Linked DNA regions of Mus musculus. The protein of the gene in region 2 interacts with the protein of the main gene of each other region in a pairwise test. Links are inferred from orthologs where the notes say so. Each region holds a gene or a part of one and is shown on either strand. Other genes may lie near its edges.

Region 1 (3,727 bases), on a different chromosome or scaffold from region 2:
GTATCTTCCCTATTATTTTTTTTTGTTGTTGTTGTTGGTGGTGGTGGTGGTGGTTTTTTTTCAAGACAGGGTTTCTCTGTGTAGCCCTGGCTGTCCTGGAACTCACTCTGTAGACCAGGCTGGCCTCAAACTCAGAAATCTGCCTGCCTCTGCCTCTTGAGTGCTGGGATTAAAGGCTTGCGCCACCACGCCCGACTTCTCCCATGGTTTTTATTTTTCATCACGTACACAAAATGCAAGCAACCATCAAACACTCCTGAAATGAACGGTAGTATCAACAAAGGCAAAATAGCGATCAGTTTCTTGCCAAGTTGGGCTGAGGGTATATATATATATATATATATATATATATATATATATATACACACACACACACACACACACACACACACACATATATACACACATATATATGTGTGTTCACAAGTAGCCTCTCAACTCCATGAGAAAACTGTCATTCCCATTTTATAGACCAGAAAACTGTAATTTTGAGAATTTAATTACCAACCAAGGTCACCGATTAAAAAAACAAAAAAGGAAAAAGCAAATACAAAACCAAAGCCCACCACGGATAATGATTGCTACCCAGACTGATTTAACTCGGGGCTCCCCTAGAAGGGCTGTTTGGTATTTCTTCACAGTTGTCTAAGGAAAGGAAATTAGTTTAGCATGCCTCTCTCCTCTCTCCCACCCACCCCATGTGTAGTTCCTCCCCTCCTCCAGTCTGTTTGTGCACTACTGGGTAAATAGGGATATATTGTGAGTTAGGGTCACTCTTTCAGGCAGAACTAGTTACAAACCACTGGAAGTTTCTTTTTTATCCTTTAGGAATACCGCTAGACCCATGCTTACCTGTTACCATGGACATGGGACGCGCAGAAGGCAAAGCTGTAGTGAAGAAGCGTGGGGTCAATCATCGCGCCATTTTCTGCTCGTTCCAGCAAGTCTCTAAGGTAGCAGAGATGCCGGTGACATCCTCGGACTCCATTTCTGGCGCAATACTCATCTAACACAAACACCTGGCCAGGACTGAACCAGCCCTGTAGGGAAATAAAGGAGAGACTTTCTTTTAAATGTTGCTTTTTGGAGAGGTGCTAGTATCAAGAGTGGCTAGAGGAAGGGACTGATAAACAGCCAGTGTTAACTCTTTTGATTGCAGGTGGGTAAATTAACTGAGCTCAGGGATGCCATGGGATATCAACACAATTGGTAGAGCTGTATCAGCAAGCAGCATGCTTCTAGGAAAAGAGAACAAGCAGGGCTCTGACATGTACTATAGGGGGTGAAGCTGGGGCAGAGTCTGGCAAGGGAAAATTGGGATACAAATGCCTTCAGTTGGTAGACAACTTGTGCTTGACAAATAGCTTTCAGCTGAGCCTTCTAGTAAGCCCGTGAGGTAGACAGGACTGGCACAGAGTCTGGGTAAGGAACCTGCTATTCACACCAGACCCAGCCCAGCTTCTACTCTGGGTCCGTCTGTTTCCCTATCTTCAGGCATAAAGGAAATTTAAGCTGGTTTACACATAGACTAAACTTTGTAAATCATTACACCTTAGAAGAAATTTTCAGTGCATTTTGAAATGAAGGTAATAACATAGCATCTAAATGGCTAGAGTAAGTAAGTTGCCTCGGATTCAATTGAACAAAAGAGAGAGATTTCTCAGGACTGCATCTATAGTCCCACCCTACCCCCTGCAATTATTTGTTTTCCTGTTTATATTTGCTCACCATGAGACCAGCCAAACCTTGCTGCAAAAGAGAATCCAGATGGAGTCTCTGATAGTAATTCAGCATCGTGATGGATAGAAACCCGTGTCTCTCTTATGTAACTGGAAAGACAGGTCCCTAGCAAGGCCAAGTGACTTGGCATTGAGGGTCAGTATGGATAGAGTCTAAAATCAAACCATGTTGTCTCATTTCCATACTACCTGAAGCAAGCAATAAATCAGTCCAGGTGGCAGTTTCTAGATTGGACATTTGGGCTCTTTTTAACAAACTTCATTTTTCTTTGAGGGTCTCCTATGAGGTTTGTTTGTTTTTTTTTTTTAATATTACTGCAGCTTGGATCGAAGGGATGAGGGAGTCAGTGATGTGGAACAGGGAGAGGCCAAAGGAGTCTGGAAGGGAGGGCTTTGCAAGGCTCTCATCTTGTATTAGGATCTGGGGATCTTCAACTGGCAACGTGCAGCTCAGCGATGCATCCAACGAAAGACGGCATCTTTCCTATTTCAAATTATAAGTTCCTCCAGAGGGCGGGAGAGTAGTTGAGGCAGTGGGCTGCCCCTATAGGCAACTTCTTTGCCACTCCATCTGCTACCCCAAATGCTAAATCTTAGAGACAACACTGCTGTGAAAGATTAAAATATATTTTCTACGACTCAGATGACACCAAGTCTTTTGTAGATGCCAAAATAGCTGCTTTGAAAAGAGTTGAAGAAATATCAATTAGGAACTGAGTCGAAGACACAGAAAAATTTATGTATCCCTGCTGGTCGGTCTCCAAAACCAACTGAAAAAAAAAAGACTGTACTAATGAGAAAAATGGAATAGAGAGATAGGGGATAAGGCCCTTTACATTTCTGTTATTTTCTGAAACTCTGGCCTTAATTAATAGATCCAGGTATATAATCAGGAAAGGGAGTTGTTCTGGGTCACTCATAATTATTATTTTTAAATTTGGACTATGTAGTTAAGCGTATAGTGATTAATGGGGAACAGGCATCAGTCTGTCATCTCCGGTTATATCTTTAGAGGGCATATATTAATTCTCCTTCGTGGTAAATTTCAGAATGAAAAAAAATTGTTTTCAAACACTGACGTGAACAAAAGTCATAAAAGGTGAAACCGTCTCAAAGTGTAAACATGTCTCACAGTGTTCATCACGTGAGAAGAGTTCCTGCTGAAAGGGTGGCAGTGCTGAGGCACACCTCACGACGGTCATAAATGTAATTAGAGATACACAATAGTAGGAAATCTGAGAAAAATGGACTTGCAATGCAAGGTAAGGTGTTTTGTTTTATTTGTTTGATTTGTTTTTGTTTTTCAAGTCAGTGTGGTGTTCCTTTCCAACTTGGCAAAGTAAGAGTCTCCAATGACGAGATTCTAAATGAGATAATGTGTCACTGTGAGCCATAGATTAATAAATTATCTTACAGAATCCCACTTCTATTTTAAGATGATTTTAACCTCTTTAAAAAACACACAATATCTTCAAGCAGCAAAAAAGGGGAACTTAAAATAATCATTCAGAATAAGGGTTTATGCTAATGTCAGTTAATTATATAATATTAATGTTACATAAATATATTAACTTTCATGTTTGAAGTCAAGGAGAAGAACTGCTCTCTGCATAAAATCATTTGATCATCTCCCTCCTTCTTTTCTGTCTACAAAGTAGGATTAGTAAGTAATATTTACGCTTAAATAAATTCATCATTTAGAATCTGAAAACAGAAATGAGCTGAATCTTTGTCATAGTTTGGGGCTTGATAGTTGTAAACCAAAAATGTGTTTTCAAAAATTGGATAAATATGTAACAGCAGTCTTTAAACTGAACTAATTTGACTGAGGGTTTAAAATGAGATTTCAGGGTATGTAAAAAACCCTGCTGGGTAGCTGAGCTTCTAAATGCCTACTGCACCTTTAAAATTTTTTCCTCAAGGGTAAACATGATTCTGAGTATAACAGAGAAGGTGTCACCCAAATAAACAAACCCAAATCCATTACA
Region 2 (4,239 bases):
TGTGTGAGAGAGAGAATGTGTGTGTGTGTGAGAGAGAGAGAATGTGTGTGTGAGAGAGAGAATGTGTATGTGTGTGTGTGTGTGTGTGCGAGAGAGAGAGAGAGAGAGAGAGAGAGAGAGAATGTGTGTGTGTGTGTGTACACCAGAGGTCAGTGACAGGCTTTTTGTCCCCTCAGTGACACAGATACAGACCAGATTAGACCAGATTAGAAGTAGATAAAGGCAGGTTTATTAGGAGGCTGCTCTCAGGTGGGCTCACTGATCTCACAGGTGTGAGAGATCCAGGCCAAAGCAAGGGGATCTTGTAGAGTTTAGGTTGGGAGTGCTGCCATGCTAGCTAGGAGCTGGGATTGTGTCCATGCATGGTCAAAAACTGAGCCCCCAAATGGGCACTCTTGGGCAGGCTGTCTGAAACTCAGAGACAAGGAGCGCTGACATGTTAGCTTGAGTATTCTCCAAGCAGACAGTGGAGATTTCTTTAGGTGGGTGGGGTTGGCAGGAGGGCAGATGTAGTTCCCCAGCTTGTGCAGGGGATAAGCAGGGGTTCCAGGCTAACATCCAATCTTAGCTGAATTCCCTAGCCACTGTCCACTTTATTTTTTGAGGTAGGGCTTTCAGCAAATTCCAGGAATCTGCCTGTTTCTTCTCTCTCCAGCACTGGGATTATAGACAAAAGCCAACACACTGGGTTTGTATTTGGGTGTTGGAAACCCAAACTCAGTTTATAACAAAAATCTTCAGTTAGCAGGGCACTCTGGAACATAAGTACAACTATACAAAGGACAGACCTTTCTGCCGTAGTAAGCCAAAGTATAAATCAATTTCCAAGTGAATTGTTCAAGCTGGCAGTTGTTACAATTACTACTAATTTATGTAAATTACTCTAGAAATGACACCCATTCTCTCCTTTGGTTCTTAATAACAACTGAATAAGGTGGAAAACGGAGACAATTATAGTCCTTTTATAGACAAAGAAACAGAAATCACGGCCTAAGATCACCCAGCACATAGAAGAAAACGGCTTCTGACCCGGGTCCAAGCTCTTGCCTTCCCTGGCATTTCACCTTCTGTAACCTATGACAGGCTGTGTTGAATGATTATCAGGTATAAACCAGTCCTAGGGTTCTGAACCTCATAGCTGGTTAGGCTCTGCTTCACTCTACATAACCTTGAAACATTTGCTACAGGCCAGGCCTGGGGCCCCATACGCTTAATCCCATTACTTGGAAGGTGGAGGCAGGAGGATCAGGAGTTTAAGGTCATCCTTAGCCACAAATAGCAAATTTGAGGCAATCCTGGACCAAAGGAGTCACTGTCTAAAATAAAACAAAAAAGCCGAGGATGTAGCTGTTGGTACACCACTTGCCTAGCAAGCACAAACCCTTCGGCCCACCCCAGCACTGCTAAGGAACAGGGTGTCGAGGGAGCGAGTGCCCGTCCTGGTGCTTTATCCCAGCAGAGTGCTGGTTTAAGTCCAAGGTTCCCGGCTTTTAAAGTGAATAAAAGCTGGGCGTTTTTATTACACACCTTTAAACTCAGGAAGCAGAGGTAGGCAGAGCTCTGTGTGTTTGAGGCCAGCCTGGACTACACAGAGTGAGTTCCAGAACAGCCAGGCTATGTCTCAGAAAACAAACAAAAATTTAAAAGGATGCTAAGATGTTTTAACTGTTAAGAGCACTTGCTGCTCTTGCAGGGGACCTGGGCTTGATTCCCAGCATCCATATGGTAGCTCACAACTCTCAGTAACTCCCAAGGCACACATTCATACACATAAATCTAAAAACAAACACACAAAATGAATAGAACAGATGAAGGAGAGGGGGTGGTTACATTCAAAATATACTGTATGAAATTTTTAAAGAATAAAAGCATTGCTGGAGAGATGGCTTAGTGGTTATAAGTACTGGTTGCTTTTCCAGAGGTAGAGATTATGTGTGTGTGTGTATAATCTCCTCCTCCATATATATCCTTCTGCTAGAAACATATAACACATCCAGGACATAATACTGAAAATGTTTTGTGAAAAGATCTCACTGCACCCATATCATCCCTTTAGGGAACTGGGATTTCGGCGGTTTGTTTATCTGGATGCTTCTCTACATCTGGAGCATCTGTCCACTGAACTTCAAACACGGTTTGCTAATGGACTGCTAAAATCCACTCCTAACAAAAACTGATAAAACACACTTGTCAGTACAACTTATCATCTGAAAGTTGATCTTTTATGAAAACTATGGGCACATCAGTTGTCTTCGGGGGGGGGGGGGGCAAAAATAAATGTAAAAATCAGAACTAAAAAATTATTTATTCCCAAGATATACTGGAGAATAAATAGGAAGTAGAGTTCTGTTCTTTGCATACTCTAGAAATAGCTATAAAAAAACCACTCTCCAATAAAGTTTTGCAGCAACCTTTAGTTGGGGCAGAGAGCAGGGAGGGTCTACAGAGGACACCGCATTTCCACCCGTCCTGCCCGAGACGATCGGACAGCCCTCAGACCCCTCCGGGCTCTCACATTACCGACGCCCGCATCTGCCACACTTTCTTCTGTTCCTCCTCCTCCATGGCCGCCGCCAACCCCGCTGCTACCAAGGACTCTAAGGAGTCTTCGCTTTCGTACTGGGCGACCCTTGCTCCGGTGATGGGATTTGCAGACAGGAGAAGGCTGGCTGCCGCCAGTCTGGCCTCCTGGTGCGGCGAAGCCATCGCCCCGCCTCCAAGCCCAAGCGCCCGCGCCCGCCCAGGGCGGCGTGCAGGCGCTGCCACCTAGCTCACAGATCCTGGCTTGGGGCGAGCGGTTACTAGGGGCTCGGTTACTAGGGACGCTACAGGAGGTGGCGACGGACCATAACGCACGCAACGTCCTTTTTCACTGTCACAAATGCGAACCCCGAGTCCAGCTAGTGTCTAATGATGGTTTCTGATACAAGCCTGCGGTTTCTAGAAGCATAACTGTCTGAAGCTACACAAACGACTACCACAGCAAGCTAAAGTAAAACGCAATCTTCAAGCTAATTGCTCAATGGGAGTCTCACCAGCGCCGGAACAATTACTGATTCACTTGAATGACACCCAGGTCTCCGGCAAGGGACTGAGCTTTTCTCTGGTTTCTAGCTTTATTTCTGTCTAACTACCTAAACGAGAACTTCTCGCGGTATACGGACTTAAAGCAGAAAGCGCGTTTTAACTAGCTGGATCAACATATTAGGGCACAGAGGGACAGGAAGGACCGGGTGTTGGGTGACCATCCCAAGAAAAGAACAGGCTTTGCAGCGCGCTATTCAACATGGCGGAGAACCCAGTTCATCTCTAATTGACAAGAACCAGCGGGTTGACCAATCAGAAGGAGAATACTTATTTGTCCCACCCTCTTTTTTCTCGACTGACCAGTAAGACACTAGACATAGGAAGTGTCTGTCACTCAGACCAGTGAGTGAGATGTGGTAGCTTGTCTAGCGGTTCTGCAGCTAGCTTAGCGGCAGATTAGAGGGGGCGAGAGCCTACAAGGACCACACCCTCCCAGCTCAGCCCTGCCAACCTCCTGATCGGCCTCAGGTTTTTGGCCACTTTGGATGCTTTTTCAGTGAACTCTCAGCCACCTGCAGCATAACACTTTACTTAGAACCCCAGCTAGCGCCCCTGTCCCCACCCTAAGGTTCCAGTACTTTCCACGTTATGCGGCACACCTTCCACAGAACCTGTTTCTGACGCAGTTGTTACCACCCCTTCCTTGTTCCCCTCTGCGAAGCACCTATCACCTTACCTTCCCTGCCTCCTGTTTCAAAACGGTTGAGCTTGCCTTTTCCAACGGAACTGATGATGGATACTGGTTGGTTCTGAAAAGCTAGATGTGGGGAGGGATCCATAGCCATCTGAATGAGAGAATAGTGACTTTCTGCCAGCCACATGCAACTAGTTCTGTGATGGGACTTGGTGTAAACAAGACCTATTGACAGACTGAAGCCCTGTAAGTGGGATGGTTTTAGGAACATGAAATAGTAAATAATGGATATGAAGGACATCAGTGTGTACATAGAATAGGAAAGTTTCGGCTGACAGTATTCTAAATTTGCAGATATCTATTAACACAGCTTTTAAAAAAAAGGTAGATCTGAAAGAAAATGGCACCATTAAAGTGCTTTTGCAGGCCAGCCAGTGGTGGCGTATGCCTTTAATCTTAGCACTTGGGAGGCAGAGGCCGAGGCCAGCGGATTTCTGACTTGGAGGTCTACAGAGTGA

What was found. The genes of interacting proteins can lie anywhere in the genome.
Region 1: the proteins of Fam161a (region 2) and Cadps interact in a two-hybrid assay, tested with the Homo sapiens proteins (2 studies listed by BioGRID). The two-hybrid records come from large-scale screens. The link is inferred for Mus musculus from reciprocal best matches to the Homo sapiens genes FAM161A and CADPS.

The regions. Positions count from the first base shown.
Region 1 is NC_000080.6:12,504,932-12,508,658, forward strand, and holds part of Cadps (calcium-dependent secretion activator 1), read right to left. Parts: intron 1,041-3,727; coding exon 853-1,040; intron 1-852.
Region 2 is NC_000077.6:23,006,908-23,011,146, reverse strand, and holds the start of Fam161a (protein FAM161A), read right to left. Parts: upstream 2,801-4,239; 5' UTR 2,707-2,800; coding exon of another isoform or gene 2,521-2,706; exon of another isoform or gene 2,516-2,520; intron 1-2,515. UniProt on the Homo sapiens protein: Involved in ciliogenesis.